Ovis aries: one gene and its partners. The protein of the gene in region 2 purifies or fractionates together with the protein of the main gene of each other region. This does not show direct contact. Links are inferred from orthologs where the notes say so. Each region holds a gene or a part of one and is shown on either strand. Other genes may lie near its edges.

The links. Proteins that work in one complex are often made in the same cells at the same time.
Region 1: the proteins of RASSF8 (region 2) and PARD3 purify together in Homo sapiens (affinity purification with mass spectrometry; 4 studies listed by BioGRID and IntAct, counting the BioPlex papers as one, with this or other methods). This does not show direct contact. The link is inferred for Ovis aries from reciprocal best matches to the Homo sapiens genes RASSF8 and PARD3.
Region 3: the proteins of RASSF8 (region 2) and PPP1CC purify together in Homo sapiens (affinity purification with mass spectrometry; 3 studies listed by BioGRID and IntAct, counting the BioPlex papers as one, with this or other methods). This does not show direct contact. The link is inferred for Ovis aries from reciprocal best matches to the Homo sapiens genes RASSF8 and PPP1CC.

The regions. Positions count from the first base shown.
Region 1 is NC_056066.1:17,898,123-17,903,979, reverse strand, and holds part of PARD3 (partitioning defective 3 homolog), read right to left. Parts: 5' UTR 4,574-5,857; coding exon 4,448-4,573; intron 1-4,447. UniProt on the Homo sapiens protein: Adapter protein involved in asymmetrical cell division and cell polarization processes. Seems to play a central role in the formation of epithelial tight junctions. Targets the phosphatase PTEN to cell junctions.
Region 2 is NC_056056.1:189,476,936-189,482,792, forward strand, and holds part of RASSF8 (ras association domain-containing protein 8), read right to left. Parts: intron 5,065-5,857; coding exon 4,175-5,064; intron 1,467-4,174; coding exon 1,322-1,466; intron 709-1,321; coding exon 587-708; 3' UTR 1-586.
Region 3 is NC_056070.1:54,595,849-54,601,705, reverse strand, and holds the end of PPP1CC (serine/threonine-protein phosphatase PP1-gamma catalytic subunit), read left to right. Parts: intron 1-1,622; coding exon 1,623-1,727; intron 1,728-2,677; coding exon 2,678-2,901; intron 2,902-3,109; coding exon 3,110-3,244; intron 3,245-4,194; coding exon 4,195-4,255; intron 4,256-5,130; coding exon 5,131-5,201; 3' UTR 5,202-5,521; downstream 5,522-5,857. UniProt on the Homo sapiens protein: Protein phosphatase that associates with over 200 regulatory proteins to form highly specific holoenzymes which dephosphorylate hundreds of biological targets.

The DNA of each region.
Region 1 (5,857 bases), on a different chromosome or scaffold from region 2:
CACAGATGCTCCCCAATTCCTGCTTCTCTCCATAGAAATCATCTAACAGAGATCACAGGGTTGGCCTGGGACAGAGCCAAGGCAAGAATGAGAATGTGGTAACCCTGAGTTAGATTTGCATTACGTTCACGCGCACTATCTAACGTGATGGGAGGGTTTATAAGCCCTATTTTCAGATGAGAAAATTTAAGACTCAGAGGGCATAAACTGCTGCCAAGAAGTCACAACTAATAAATGCTGTCAGCCAAGACGGCCCCAGGTCTGCCGATGATTCCTAGCCCTTTCTAAGACCCATACGGGTGGTTTCCAACAGCAGCATCACAGTTGTTTGTCTTCCTACAGCCCCTCCTCCCAATCTCTTCCCAATAGCATCACTTTTTAATGTTTTGCACAGTGAGTAGGTCCATAAAATATTTATTTTAATAAAAAAAGTTTTGATTGTTTAAAAAAATCAAGTTTGAAAACCCACTCACCTAAGTATTGTATTACAGTTTGAACCTCATCCTAGTTGAAGCAGTGGTTCTCTAAGTAGGATTCCATCCCAGATCAGCACCCCTTGACTACTAGTCGGAAGTTCCAAACCTCAGCTCTACTGAATCAGAACTTCTCAAGGCTGAAATGCTTTGTATTTCTTCTAGGTACTATTATTACTATGTTTTAGCTCATAAACTCATGGGCTAATGCCCCCATGAACACTTCTTTTCTTTCCCATGCCATGTGGCATGCAGGATCTGAGTCCCCGTACCCCCTGCAGTGGAAGCACGGCATCCTAACCACTGGGTCACCAGGGAAGTCCCAGGAACATTTCTTAAATGAAACAGATGTTTGTTACTACATCTTACAAAACATCACCATGAATACATACATAGATATTTCACAATCACATAGATGGTTATATATGTATTCACAGTCAGTGTCGGAAACAAACTCTTTCTCAGAGCCATTTCACCTCAAAGCTCTCTCGACATGCAATCATCAGCCTCTCTCACTGCACGTGACTTTGGGAGCTGTCTGAGCTCCCCAGGGAGCTTGTTTTGATTACTTGCCAGGAAATTTTAATGCGATGAATAAAAGGATATTCTTTTGGGAATAACTGATAACTAAACAATATTTTCATCAGGTCCTATTTTAATTCTAATTTATGAAGCTTTTATCCCTTATCTTGCCCATAAAATCAACATCTTGTCTTCATTCCTACTGGCAGTACCATCCTCCTCTGACTTAACCTAAGCAAGCCATAAACCTCACCTCCCCACAGGAAATACAGGGGACGGAAAGTCAAATGACACCCCAAGGAAACAACCAGACAAGTCCAGAAGTTGAGACCTTAATAACACAACTGCACTGATTTCTTTTTTTTGAATGCACAGTATCTAGTATCTAGATGCAATGTATGATACTGAAGTGGACCCTGCGTCTGGAGAGAAATTTTATTTAAAAAACAAAAAGCTGGGACAATTGAAGAATCTGTCTTATCATGACAGAATTAATTAACAGAAAATTTCCTGGAAGTGATCAGTATGTGACCCAGGAATTTAAAATGTTTGTCTACATGGTCAAGATGTATATAGAAAATCAGATGTTTTAATAAACAGTACTACAAAATAGGAAAGCAGCTACACACCCAACAATTAGAAATTGAGGACATATAATCCATGAAATACTGCACCGCAATTTAAATGCTGTGCACAGAACACCATGAAAGGTAGCATCTCATCTTTAGTCTGAAGTAGAATCTGCAGCCACAGACAATGGGAAAGAACTGCTAAACTCAATTGGCCACCCTTCTGATTTTCCATAAGAAACATATATGTATAATTTCATAATTTTATCACCTTAAGTAACAAGTGAATACATCCCTTCCTTTCCCCTTCCTTCTTTTCTTGTTCTCAATAATGGAATCACCTTCTAACTCATCTCACTGCTTCCAGGCTCCTGTCTTAATCCTCTCTACATCCTGAGACTGCATTCATCTTCACAAAACACCTATTTCATCGTGTCCCTGCCCTGGGATGAGTCACTTCCAGTGACTCACTACATCCTAACCACTAAAACCCAACGTCCTCGGCCAAGCACTCAACACTCTCCAAGCCTGCTTTTCCGGACTCTCTGTGGATCCTACCCTAGGCACCCAGAGCCAAGCCCGAGACAGAGCAGGTGCTCAGTAGACACTGGTCCCTTCCCCTCCACACAGCTGAGAGCATTCACCCCACAATTCCAGTGACCCAGGCTGTCCTTCCCTCTCCCACAGAGATCACAACCACCTCCCCGTGAAATGCCCTCCGACCCCAAGGTGTTCATCCAGACCACAGAGGTGTCACATGATAGCCTGTTTCCTTGCACACGCATGGAGATACTTTTTTATCTCTAGATAAGTTCCCCAAATGCAGGGATCATCTTCTGCTCTTTAGCACAAAACAATGAACAAAACACCATGCTGTTGCACAAATAATGTATAAAATACATATAATAAATAACCCAATTGGACAAAAAAGAAATTTCAACAAGACTTTCTCGGAAAACTAGAATCCACGAAGAGGCTTATGCTCCCCTAACCACCAAAAGAAACCCCATGGACACGGGCGCCTGTTGGGATCAACGCTCCCTTTATCCTGTATCCTCTGACTTCAGGCAGAGCTTGCTCAAGAACCTCAGTGTGACTATCCTGGCTGACACTCCAGATGGCCTGAGCTGTGGGGAAAGAAGCCTTCCAGGTACTTTATCCTCCCAACGTAAAGGAACCCAATTTCCTGCAGAAACACCTTCATGCTCACGCGCAGAGCTGCATCCCCAGCACCGCTGGCCTGGAGGACCAGGCAGAAGTTGAGTTTATGCTGGTCACACCTGCTTACAACTTAGGAAAAGGAGAGCCAGACAACAGCTTACTGAGGCCAGCCACGTTCTCCCCGATTACGTCCCAGGGAGGGTCAGGACGCCCAGGGCAGACGGTGGGCAGTACTGTCACCTGATAGGCCAGAGGCACCAGGAAAGGGCGTGAGACAGTAAATGAGGCTGAGACCCGAAAAACAATATGGACCTACAGGAGTGTCCTCCCCAGCTCCAAGCCTCTCCTTCCAGGCCTGGGGACCACCAGAGAGCTGAAGGTGGGCGCCTGCACCAGGCCTCCCTGGGCCTCCCTAACCCTCCCGACTCCACGAGGGGCCAGCATGGGGCCACTCATGCACAGCAATGGTTTTCAGGACATTCATTCGAGGTAAATGCTTCCGGCTCCATGTGCAGGTGTGAGGCCAGGGGAGCAGGAAACCCAACCTGTCTGAGATCATGGAAGAGAAAGGGCATTTCAGCTCAGATGTCACTCTGACTTCTCAGTGACTGCTCTGCTCTTTTGGACGCACTGCTTCTTGCACAAGGATCAAATGGATTTGTTAGGAGGACACACGAGGAAGGGAAAATCTGATCAGGATAGAGTCTTGTCTTTTCTTTCTTTCATTCTTTTTTTTTTTTTTTTCACTTAGAATGGGAAAAAATAACAACGAAAAATATGTAACCCAAGTCTACACGTATATAGACTAGACTATCTTCAGTTTAAGGAAGTAATGTTTTACCCCCAGTGTCACCTATAAAGACATATAGATTTAAGAAGCATGTCGGCACCTGTAAGTGCTGGATTCCAAGCTGCAGGGAAAAAAGCAAAAATCCCATAACCATTAAAGGGCTTTCCAGGTGGCACTAGTGGTAAAGAATCTGCCTGCCAATGCAAGAGACATAAGAGACCCCTGGGTGGGGAAGATCCCCTGGAGGACAGGGCAACCCACTCCAGTATTCTTGCCTGGAGAATGCTATGGACAGAGGAGCCTGTCAGGCTACAGCCCATAAGGTTGCAAAGAGTCGGACACAACTGAAGCAACTTAGCACACACATACAACCATTAAAACCAGGCCTCAGACCCCTCAGGGCAGAGACCCATCCTGGGGCACCAGCAGCCCACAGCACCTGTACACATCAGGCAACAACTGAGATCTTCTAAAGTGAACTAAGATGCTGAATGTTTTTCTACTGTTTATAAAGAAATAACCAACCTAAGAGATCCTCAAGGTTCTTACCCAGCTTCACAAAAGAAAAACCTCCCCTCTCCTATTTACTCCCCAACCAGCCAACAAGAGAGGCTGACTCAGACAAAAAGGAATTTCTCCGACAGAAAGAAAGCCTCCCTGAAACATGATAAACTCTAATAGTGCAAAATTCTAAAACAAACCAACCAAATTTGACCCCAAAGCAGCTCTCGACACCCCCATCCTATGACTTAATCCAAAAACCACCTCCCATCTTTCTTTAAAGATGTTATCTCAAGTTGCTTAAAAATCCACAATTAATTCCTTACATCTGGCAGTACCCAACTGGACTGAATCAGAAGAATGACTCGTGAACTAACAGAGGAGACTGTGAGGAAACGGTGGGTTTTGATAGTTAGATAATTTGCACCTACCTGGGGTCTCCTTTTTAGAAGCCTGGGCACACAGCCATCCAGCCGCACTCTGTGGCCCCTACACTCAAACTCAGCATAGCCCCCGCTGCGCAGGGTCCGGCGAGGAAGGCCACAGCACCACCACATCACAGGGGTGGCCCCAAGATGGGGGACAGCAGATGCTGGTACTCAGAACGTGGCTCCAACTGCAGGCACTCGGGAGGTGGAAAGGCCTGTCCCAGTGTTTCCTGGGACTGCTGATGCCAGAGGTGGAGCACCCTCCTCCTCCCAGGACACTCCCAGCATGGGTCCAGGGCGGGAGCTATGATGGTATCTTCAAAAGATGTGCCAGAGACCAGAGTCCTCTCCAAGTCTCATTACCTTGGACATATGTGCAGGCGAGGAACCTGCATCAGCTTTTAGGATGATTTTCAGCAGAGAAGAGAGCGACAGACAGACAAAGCACACAGTCACCACGAACACCGAGACCCGGGCCAGTGAATGCACGGGGTCTCCTTGTCACTCGGACTTGCTATAGCTCGCTGGGCCCCTCCTGGAAACCCCGGGGAAAGCTCACCCAAATGTCAGTGCCTGCTAACATCTACCCTGCACAGCAGCAGCCTCCAGTCTCATTTTGTCTCCTGCCCTGTCTCTCCACGGCACTCACAACAGTGTCTGGAAGATGTGCATGTTTACAGTATCACCCTAATCAAGCCTCAGGACCTGATTCACACACTCAAGGAGCATCTACTCGATGGCAGGCACTGAACAGACACAGGGTTACAGCAGCAAATGGTCCCTAGCCCCAAGTCACTTAAACACAGCCCCACACCCTAAAACTCATCGGTGTTACTGGTGACCCAATACCAAAGGTCAATTTGTATTCCTTTGCTAACTCATAGGTTTCCAAGTGTGTTCGCACTTAAAATTTTTCCTTGAAAATCCCTAGTGTGACTCACAAACTTATCTGGCTTTATCTGGTCAATTTCAAATTGATTTGAAATGGGGGAATTTGAAAGAAAGGGCTTCAAGATACCTTATGAAATATGTGAGCAGATTATAGAGGTTAACGCCATATCGTTTCCTAATCCCTTAGATACACAGTTAGTTTGCTGTCCTTGTAAAGTTTTCCGTTATGAGGCATTTGAAATTTAGTTAACTGTGCCTTCAATGTACTACTTCTAAGAAAATATAGTGCACAGTGTTCCCAAAGAAACAAAACAAAATGCTAAGCTGTGCAATCGAAGCACTAAAACAGGAAATATAGCAGGCACAGACCCAACATATTCTGCATCATACCTAAAGTCTCCGATAAAAATCCTGCATGGATGCAAAGAAACAAATTAGCTGTTTGGGAACTCAGGCAAAACCTAATTATACAACTAGTAATTAAAGCATGAAATGGACTACCTCAAACAACAGTAAGACATG
Region 2 (5,857 bases):
TAAAAAGAAAACCTGAATTCTCTCACCTAATTAAGCAGTGGCTAGGATGGGTTCACAATGGCAGAGCGTCCTATGACGCTCATGGAGCTGTAAATCAGCAATGCGTGGAGTCTGGCGACATGCACACGAAGTCATTATCACACGGTATGTAATGTAATTCAGTCACAGGATAAGTATTAATAAAAAATATTAAAACATCAACATTCACTCATTAATTGATTACATGGAATAAATAAACTAAGTCAGTCACATATTTCTCTTCACTCTTAAGTCACGGTTTTATTTACGTATGCACACTGTATAATACTTTCCTAATGCTCTCAAAATGCTACAGATAAAAATGAAGGCTTGGCATTACAGCTGCTGGACAAAAACGTCAACACTGTGGGTGTGTGAAGACACAGTTTCTTTGTTCTTTAGCATCAGTGCACAGGGTATGGCTCCAAGTGGTATGCAACTTAGGACAGAAAAAAGATGCGGTGGCTTGTGGAACAGATCCTCCGTTCATCATTGGCACAAAATCAAAGAAGGAATCTTCACCGTCCTTGGTACCTTTCCTGGATCTCTACCCTGAAGACAGGTAATGTTATACATAGATGCCTTCAGGATTAAAACCAGATGAGATAGGATTCTGTAGAATACGCAGGTTACTGGGGAGCTGCCGAGAGGAGCCAGGCCGCTTCAGAGACCCGGACTGGAATGGTGCCTCTAAACAAGAAACAGAGAACGTCATTTGATGTTTGCACCAGTGACCTGGATATGAGAAATCAGAACTTTCCCTGTTCTCAAGAACCAAGTGATACAGAGTAATGACTGCACCCCCATAGGTTCTGGGTGAGAGGACAGGCTGAGTCTGCTTGACACTCTCAGTTGATTAAATAGTTTCTAGTCATCTGAGGAGTTCATGATCTTTTGAAAAAGGTGAGCACTGTGCCTCTCTTTCTGGGTTGTTCATATCATACGCATAGGCAGATTTAGAACTGTCTTTTAAATACCAGCACAAATTAATAATGAAGACTTTTAGGAGAGGAAGAAGGGGCCTTAGGAACAAAGAGAAGTTACCACTCAATTTAATGGACCATGACTGACACATATTTCAGGACAAGTTTGCAAGGAAACAGTTTAAAATGAGTGATAGGATATTTACCCATCTAAGTAAATAAATAATGTAAACATTATTGATTCTTCCCAGAAAAAATTTCTTTAAGTGACCCAAGAATCAGTTTTGAGTAGTAGGAGAATGTTGCAATCAAATGCAAGCAGTTTATTCAAAGTTAACAGTGAAAGTCAAGGTTTTAAAAAGCGGTTTCTCAAAGCTTACCCCTTTCTGTGTCTGCATGCAAGGCCTCCACTCCAATGGGCTCCGCTGGCAGGACGGTGACTTTCGTCCCTGTCTGCTGGATAAACTGCTGGAGGTTGACTTGCCGCAGCTCTTTGGTCAACTGCTCCAATTCTTGTTCTCTGTCCTAGACGGAAGTTAAATTTTTTCTAAAATTTGAGGATTCATTATTGGCCAGCTACAGACATCCTGGTCACTGTCCATCTGCTACAGGGTTAAAGGTGGGATGCTCACTTTCACAAGAGTGCTTGTAACAAACCTGGTTTATATTGACATACTGGGCTGAGGAGGTCAAGCTCACTCTGTGGCATGGGCCAAAAAATAAATAAAAGACAACAGCTTCTTCAGTTTGTGCTTTTAAATGTCATGCCTTCCTCTGCTAAGAGTACACTATGTACCTGATGAAATAAATCTATGTCTACAGACTTTCATGAATAAAAGACTGGATTCCATCTATCCCAGTGTTTACAGCAATCTTGGTAAGCTCTTCATAACTATACTTCCCCATATCTACTTCATAATAAGTGTTAGTCAATCAGTTGTATCTGACTCTTTGTGACCCCATGGTTTGTAGCCTATCAGGCTCCCCTGTTCATGGAATTCTGCAGGCAAGAATACTGGAATGGGCTGCCATTTCCTTCTCCAGGGGATCTTCCTGACCCAGGGACTGAGCCCAGGTATTGCCTGCATTGCAGGCAGACTCCTTACCAACTGAGCCACCAGGGAAGCCCACTACTTCACAATATGCAGCAAAATTAACAGTCATTTGGTTCATGAGATTCGGGCTCCTTTTCATGAAATGCTTTACTGAGATTTATGTTAGAGCACGAGGAAGGCAAGATTTCCACTATGGGGTTTTTAAATCCTTGACAAGCAGGTCTGTGAACTGAAGAGCTCTAAAGTAAGGAGACCAAGTTTGGATGGCCAGAAAGCTCCAAAAGCAAGGAGAGGCATTCTGTTATTCAAATGGACTTTCTTCTCTTTCTCTCTTAGGGCACTGTAAGGAAAAGCAGGAGGGCCTTATCTAAGCTGGGTGAGTCTGAAGGATCTGGTAAGGATAGGGAAGAGAAAAGAGAAAGGAGTGGTTGTTTTTTGCTACTTTGAGTGTAGGGGGTACTTGGAGATATCTGAGTAATTTGATTCTCAGATACTTTTCACAGGAAGTGGAGTTTACTAATAACAATTTTCATAAATTAGTATGTAATAGCAAGGCAATATCATTACCAAATGTACCCTTAAGTGTCTAAATAAAGGGTTGACAGAGGATGAGAAGGTTGTATGGCATCACCGACTCAATGGATGTGAGTTTGAGCAAACTCCGGGAGATGGTGAAGGACAGGGAAGCCTGGCGTGCTACAGCCCATGGGGTTGCGAAAGAGTCGAACACGACTGAGCAACTGAACAGAACAGTACAATACTGACCAGTCATAGGTTAGCAACCTTCTATTACTGAGAAATTCCTGATTTTCCAAATTTCTGTGGTAGCTCTGCCTCTTACCGTAATGAGTGGCAGAGACAGGAAATCGTATCAGTTCCTCCTGAAACCTCAGCTTTCTCTGCTTGTGGAACTGTCCCTCCTCTAAAGCATCTCTTCTCAAACTCCAATGTGCACAGGTGCTATTTGGAGATGCTGTTACTACACACAGCCTGAATTTCTAACCACTGTGCCCTGAAACCTCATGGTTCACTCTCTGATCCATGATTACAGAGCTTCTAAACCAGCACTGCCCAATACAGGAGCCCCTGAACAGATGTGCTACTAGAGCACTTGAAAAGAGGCCAAATATGACTAAAACAGAAATTTAACTTTATTTAATATTTTTAAACAGCTTTATTGAGTATTATTTAACTTCAGTTTAAACGTAAGTAGGGACTTCCCTGGCGCTGCAGTGGTTAAGTGTGGTTTCTGTTCCTGGTATGCCTCCTGACTGAAACACTAAAAATAAACAAATAAATAACTAAAACAGAAGCAACACTGTAACAAACTCAAAAAGGACTTTAAAAATGGTCCACATACCCCCCCCCCCCAAATCTTTTAAAAAATGTGAAGTGAACATTTGATAATCAATTGTGTCTCATTTCAGCTGTTAGATACCTCTTTGCAACTCCCGTAACATTTACTACCACATTGTCTTTCCAAGAATAGGCATCCAAGAAATATAAGCTGAGTGATCATGGTCTGAGTGTGAAATATAAATGTTCCTGTATGCGGTTTAGAGATGGGAAAAAGTCAGGGAGAAACCTGCCCCTCTGGAGAGGAGAGAAGACGTGCTTAGCAACAAAGGAGAGGCGATTAGACATGCAGACAGCTAGCCACACAGCCTTTGTGAACCACTTCTCGGTGATCAGCTTTGGTTACCCTACCGTTAAAAGGAGGAGGTCAGATTCACGACCTCATCATTAGCGTCCACACCTGCTCGGAGGTTCTCATCTCCTGTCTCCAATTACCTAGTGCTGCTGCTGCTGCTGCTAAGTCACTTCAGTCGTGTCCGACTCTGTGTGACCCCATAGACAGCAGCCCACCAGGCTCCGCCGTCCCTGGGATTCTCCAGGCAAGAGTACTGGAGTGGGGTGCCATTGCCTTCTCCTCCTAGTGCTGCTATTACCCCAGTTAAGAAAGCTGCTTTCATGGAAAAGGACCTGTGGCTCCAGCTCTCATCTTTGGTTTAGTCTCCTATTTAGCATTGTCGTAAGTCACAGAAATTCTAAGGAACTTATAAACCAAGGTAGGTTTCTAACTCTAAATGTAAGGGAAAATGAATAATCATTAAAGAAGATGCCGGAAGATATTCTTTTAAACAGATTAAAAAAATTCTTTTTATAAAAAGTTCTTACCTGTAATCGTTTGGTGGCTTGGCCAAGAGATCTTTCCACAGCTTTAATACCATTTTCCAGCCTTAGACTCTGCTGGCCTTGAATGTCAATTTCCCCTCTGACCTTACCGATCTTGCCTTTAACCTCTTCTTCATTTACTTGTGCCTCTTGGACTTCCCGTTGCAATTTTTCTGCTTCAAGACCACTTTCCATAGTCTGAATTTGAGCCAAATAGTCCTTTAACTTGCTTTCACATTCTGTTATTTTCTGTTTTATTTCTTGAAGTTGATCTTTCAGCTGTTTTTCATTTTCCTGTTCAATCTGTAATTCATTTTCCCAAAACTCTTCCTCTTCAATTTCTACATCATTTCTTTTGATCTTTTGCTCCAGGCGGACAATTTCCTCTTCAAGGTTAGAATTATATTTTTGCTCCCAAAATCGTATTTCTATTTCATTTGATTCTAGCTCTTTCTCAATGGATTGGAGCTTCTCGGTCTGCAAACGGATCAGCTTCTTCAATTCATCTGCTGTTGTTTTGCAGTTATTCAGCACCTTTTGCTTAAATTCAGTTTCTTTACCTTTTCCAAATATGTCCATTAATCCTTTGGCACCTCCTGTAAATGTTAATGATTTCCTTTTAGGTTCTCTCCTTTTGATTGTTTTGTCAATCTGAGGCCTCAGTTTAGCTAAGGGGGGCAAACTCTGCCTGTACAAAGTTCTTTCAGGAATTCGAGCCACACTATCCGATGTGGGTCGCTCACTGAGAGATGGCCCTGTGCGCCGTAAGATCAGCTGTACATCACTAGCATACTGCCCCCACTTGTTTAAAGATATGATAGGATTTTCATGAGGTGCTAAGTGCCTTTCAGTATCTCTCCATTTTTCTATAAGCGTGTACCTTCCAGTTCGACCTAGATAAAAAAGACAAAAATAAATTTTCAAGATGGGATATGTAATAGCTAAAATAATGCCTCCAAACAGATGACCTATTGGATAATTGTGTCTTCTCAATAAGCATCACATTCCAGTCTGTGATGCCTTTAAAACTTCACTCGAAGATACTGAACTCCTTAAGATATGTAACACATAAAATATGGGATGTGAATTGCATATACCCTTCAGACTTGCTTTAGAAAATCATCTTTATACTTTAAACCTCAAAGAGAATCTTAACCTATCTTCCCGTCTGACTGCCCAGGCCTTGTCTGGGGCAAGACGTCCTGCTGAAACTAAGGAGATCACTAGAGAGTCCTGCTGGAAGCCAGGACCTGGTTCCAGGAACCAGGAAGAACTTCAGAACTCGAGCAAATGTCTCCTTGGTGAATCCTGCTGATTTCCCTGCACTTCAGGACTTGGGAAGCTTGGGGCCCCTGTTTCTCCTCCTGAAGGGGGACATGGAGCCAATGGAGGGCCTGCTACCCAGCTAACAGGCACAGGACAGGCCTTTCCTCTGCCCTCACCTTCCTGTATACCTGTGGCAAATAAAAAAAAAAAATCACTGCAATGAAAACAACCCTTCAAAACAATTTCATATAAAAAGTGGGACCTGAAGAGAAATCCTGTTCACTTTTGATAAATAATAACTTCAAAGAGTCTTTAAAAAAAATTAACAAGGCAAAAATTATACCATTAAAGAACAAAAACAGAATAAAATTATATTTATATTAAAATATACTGAATATAACAGTGATTATGGAAGATAAA
Region 3 (5,857 bases), on a different chromosome or scaffold from region 2:
ACTGGTTTTGTCTCTGTGGCCGTACCCTAGACTATAATCATAACCTATAGTCTCGCAAGGTGTGGTGTACTCCGTGTCAGTTTCACTTGGATGTGTTCATCTAGTTTCTTTGTTAGAAGTACACTGCTAGAAAGGTTACCTTCATAATAAACGTAGTCCTCGTACTCACAGCCTCTCCCTTGACTGTATGTATGTGTGTAGTCCAACACCCAGTTCATAAGATGAGGCGGGAGAAAATTGACTCTACTTCAGTAAAATTTAAAAAGAAAAGAATGAAGTGGGCGAGAAAGATATTTGATATTGACAACGAGTCAGAGAAGTGCTAGTAAGGCAGTCACTATTTAGGTAATGAAATGAGAGGCAGAGAATTTTATAACATTGTGTTTTAGGAATTCATTACAGGTACTACTGTTTAGAACAGTTTCCTTTTTATATAGCGGTTAGCCAATATTCTGAGGTTTTATTTGATAAAGTTCAAATTCACACAGTCTCTTTGTTGTGATATACTTCCTAGTGTGTTGGCTACATCACTTTTGGTTTCTTTTTTATTAGAAGCGTTAATCATTGAGAAGGTCAGCATTGAATAGTATCAATTTTGACTCTTTGTCTTCAAGACTCATGTAATGAATGACCTTGTACTGCAGCTTTCCCCTCTCCCATCAGGGAGGTATAGTTTGCCACCCAGTCTGTGGGCCTGAAAGTATCCTGACATAGGTGGCTTTCAGTGGATGGTTTACCAACGTAAGAAAACATTGATAATTTTGTTAAAATTGTACTGTATTGGAATTTTTTATTCAAATGTAGGTTTCCATGAGGGGATTTTATTTTATTTTATTTTATTTTTCCATGAAGGGATTTTAAAGCCACTGCTGAACGTGGTACTTTTTTCCTAAGTGTAGCAGGCACTCTGTGCTACCATTTCCTCCATTCCCCCTGCCCATGTTGTGACTGTAGTCCTGGAAAAGCTGAGGTATCTGTTGCTGGATAAAATGTGAATGTGTGTTACACTTTTCTGATGCCAGAGCTGTCTGGTCTGTGGTAATAGGAAACTGCATTAGGGGTTCTGGCTCAGAATCTGAGGATTTGGAAGCTTGAAGAGGCCTTGGCAGTTATCCAGGAATCTTTCTGGAGCCAGATGCTCCTGTCGGTCTGAGGTGGCCTTAGCGGGGAAATGTACAGAGGAAAGAAAGCAGCAGCCCGGGACTAAGTTAATAAGATGCTCAGGCAACAGGAGGAAGAATCTTAATTTTTGATGAAGAAGCCGACAGAGTGAGTTGTGAGTTGTTTCTTGGTCGCCTTTGGAAATGGAACCCACCTATGGTTTGAGAGTGGACAGAACAGACTATATTGCAGACAGAGTTGGTGCTATCAAATAATTGTTGAGGCTTAATGATAATCCTTAATCAGTATATCTGGAATTCTGTTTTCAGACTATTTTAAAATAGTGCATATGAAACTAAGTTGTTGCTTATAAATCATACATCTCTTAAATATTATATATATCTAATTCTCTCTTTTTTAATAAAAGCATAGTTTTTGAATATTGCCTTGGAGGACTTATCTTGAGGGTATGTATCTGCAGAACACCAGTCTCTCTTTTAACCATCCCAAAATTTCCACAGGTAAAAGAAGATATAACATTAAACTATGGAAAACTTTCACAGACTGCTTTAACTGTTTACCGATAGCAGCCATCGTGGATGAGAAAATATTCTGCTGTCATGGAGGTATGTGGGCTGATTTTAATTCCATGTAGATTTGGATTCTTCTAAAGGGTATACACTTTGACATTGATGAATTAACATTCGGATGACTTCCTCTGTGAGGTGACTCTCCTGTACTGCTGTGTTAAACCAGGAGTCCACTCTGGCACATCCAGGATCATCCGGATACAAGTCCAAAGTATGCAGTTGATTTGTTACAAAGACTTCTAGGCTCTGTAACAGTTAGTCTTGAAACTAGAGTAGAAAGTATTTTCGAATATAAAATAAACAATGTGCTATACCATAGACTCTGTAGGATACTGAAAATGTGAATATACTTTCCCTTGGACTGTTTTTGGTCTTTTCCTTTCAGAAATTTCTCTGACTTAGATGTTAAAAGTTATTTTGCTTGGTGATTGTACTTTATATGATGTAATTAAAATAGTAATGGCAAAGAGGATATCTTTTCATCTATGTCAGAAGTTAGACAACCATCAAAAAGCCAACTCGACTATATTTTAATAAAACCACTATCCTTGCCCTCCTTAGGTACTTATATACTGGTTTTGGTAGAGTTGGACATGTGATTTTTAAAGTCAGATTGAGAGCCAGTTATATCTGAGCTGGTTTGACTTTACAGTCCTTGGCCAGTGCACGTTTCCTAGAAAGCTTCATCACCTGAGTGTCTGCATCTTCTACGCCCGGTCACTACAGTGGTCATTAGGGTGCTCTGAATGTTGAAGTAACTTTCCTTGTCCTGTTTGGGCCCACACTGCCCCACAAATTAGTGCATGTAACAAGTTCCAGTGTCCCCCACCCCCCGTCCCTTTTTAACAAAAGCTAATAGGTAAGAAAAGATAACCAAAGAGTTCATGATTGAGTCTCTCTGAAGAGAAAGGGAAATATTAAAGTGCTGACTTCCCTTTTAAAATTGTGTTTTCTTCCATTTTGGTTTTTTCCCCCTCATTTAATAGGTTTATCACCAGATCTTCAATCTATGGAGCAGATTCGGCGAATTATGCGACCAACCGATGTACCAGATCAAGGTCTTCTTTGTGATCTTTTGTGGTCTGACCCCGATAAAGATGTCTTAGGCTGGGGTGAAAATGACAGAGGAGTGTCCTTCACATTTGGTGCAGAAGTGGTTGCAAAATTTCTCCATAAGCATGATTTGGATCTTATATGTAGAGCCCATCAGGTATTGATTTTGAATTTTACATGTACACTTAAGAGCATGTGTGTGAGCACAGATTCTCCTTGTTGATTTTGGTGGGTAGGTATTGCTTATTTATACAAAATGTCTCTGGAAATGACCTACAGGATATCAGGCTCAATGGGAAACTGAAGAGTGATTTTACTCACCTAAAGTTTGCACCCGTTCACATTGAAAACATTTTCTCTCCAAGGTGGTTGAAGATGGATATGAATTTTTTGCAAAGAGGCAGTTGGTCACTCTGTTTTCTGCGCCCAATTATTGTGGAGAGTTTGACAATGCAGGTGCCATGATGAGTGTGGACGAAACACTAATGTGTTCTTTTCAGGTAGAGGATGTTTTCAGCATTGTTTCCTTTTATTATGTCTGCATTTTATTGATTTTTTAAAAGTGCTAATTTCTGCCTATATTCATTTATGTGGAATAGACTGAAAAATTATTATTTTCCCTTAATTGGTGTTTGTCCTAGTTCAGTAATGAGTGAATTCCTTTTAAAAGAATGAAATGATCATAGAACTTTTGCCCCAAGTATTGAATTTAACTTTTTTCATATTATTTGAATACATTAAAATCATGAGACATTAAGTCTAAAGCTACAGTGTTAGTACCGTGTTCCGCTGAAATTAAACCACATGAAAGTAGCCCTCGCTGCCGTGCGCCAGGTGTGCCACGTGATGACTCAGTTCTCCCTCCATGTCTCTGTTTCTAAAAAACCTCTAGTGATTGACCGTGACATCATTTGGCCGTCACTTGGCACAAAAGAATCATTTACACATAAAGTCTGCAGTTTTTTTCTCATTCAATTACTATGATTAAACTTATACGACTTCAGGCTTACCCAATCATAAACAAAAACACAGCCACTGAAGTCAAGTCATCAGTTAACTGAATTAAAACAAGTGTTTTTGACTTTTTTTATTTTTAAATTATCAGGTCTTGCAACCCCCAGAGATTATGACATGATCCCCTAGGGGTTTGAGAAACACTATTCTAAAGAACTATATCCCCTGGGTCAGAAGGGATACCTAAAGATGTGACTTCAAAAAACTGTCATTTTATCCAGAGGCGAAACAGTTTGTCCAGATCATATATCATAGCGGTTTATAAGAGTATTTATTACCAAAATGTTTGTCAGCTTGGTTTGTGTTAATACGCCAGTGGAGCTTTCAGAGTTGTTGGGTCAATTTTAAACAAACTTTCTGAACAAAAGATTTGAGTGAAATGTAAGACTTGAGGTTAAGTGTATTTCCTAAAATACACTGTCTTGAATCTTTGCAGATTTTAAAGCCTGCGGAGAAAAAGAAGCCGAATGCCACAAGACCCGTCACACCTCCAAGGGGTATGATCACAAAGCAAGCAAAGAAATAGATGTCATTTTGATACTGCCTAGTTGGGACTTGTAACATATAGTACATAACCTTCATTTTTAAAACTGTAATGTGTATTGGTCAGCTTGCTCAAATAGTGTTTGTGGGGCTCCCCTTTCCATTTTTGACTTAATGAATGGTATTTGCTGGTTATAACAGCAAATGAAAGATTCTCCACTCCCAAGGAAAAATGTTTTGTTTAGTTCCCTGTTCCTTTTACAGACAACATTAATGGTGTTAAAGCTGTACACTCAGGACAGTGTCCCCTGTCTAAGGGGTGAGTGTACAACTGATCTTTTTTTAATTCAGTACAGCCCATAAATAATGTAAATGCTCATTTTCTTTAGGATATAAAGAGAGCCCTAGGGTGCTCAATCTGTACATGTTATTGTCATAAAATGCATACTGTTGGATACAAACCACTGTGAACTTTTTTGTTTCAAAGGGATTGCTTTTTTTTTTCATTGTCTTATGTACAAACTAGTTTTTATAGCTATCAACATTAGGAGTAACTTTCAACTTTGCCAGCATCACTGGTATGTATATTTAATTAAAGCACACTTTCCCCTACGGTATACTTAAAATGACGATTAAAGCCATTATTTTAAATGTTTGTGACTTTTTTCCTGAAGCCAAAGTTTCTGTTGAAATATATATTGACACTCCCCTAAGTAAGTACAAGGTGGCATGGTTGTGTACACCTGTCACCTTTATGGGGATTCAAAAACAGGTTTTTGAGTTTGAATAGCAGTTAGTAACATAGTGCTGTTTAAGCTATTAATAATTAAAGTTAATTACATTTTGTATGATTTCCATATAGTCTATTCATTAAGTAATCTTTTTACAGTTACATCAGGCCTGAACCCGTCCATTCAGAAAGCTTCAAATTATAGAAACAATACTGTTCTATACGAGTGACCGATTATGCATTCTTTGGCCTACATTCTTTATTCTGCGATGAAGTTGAGGCTTATAAGTCAAAACAAAGGAACTAACTTACTATCCACCAGTTTATACAGAACTCACAGTATATGACTTTTTTAAACTAAGATCTGTTAAAAAGAAATCTGTTTCAACAGATGACCGTGTACAATACCATGTGGTGAAAATTAATTCAGACTTATTAAATGATGAACTTGTTAAATCCTCTCAGTGTCAATTTATCAGCACAATACACACAGGAGAACTGTTGATGGCATATTGAATAGATTTTAATGAATAAATTGCTCTGGAAACCACACAGTTTCAATTTGGATTTGTCTTCCTTCAAATAGTCTGTTTTCCAAAGATGGATTGTAATATGGATGCTCATTCTTCAAATTCTTATTGGATATAACTAAGTTTCTGAAGTAGAGAGATGAGATTGAGCTATTTAGGGAGGTGTGGGACTTGGTGAGTTGTGTGACATCATCTGTATCCATATTTTTTGTCTGGGTTTATTTGAACTTGGCAATAAAATTCAAGAGCTACTTTTTGAATTATTCTAAGTCAACCACCAGTGTTTTTATACACAAACCTTTGCTCTTTTCTCTCTTCCCTAATTCATATGAAACACAATGTTGTGTCCTACATTT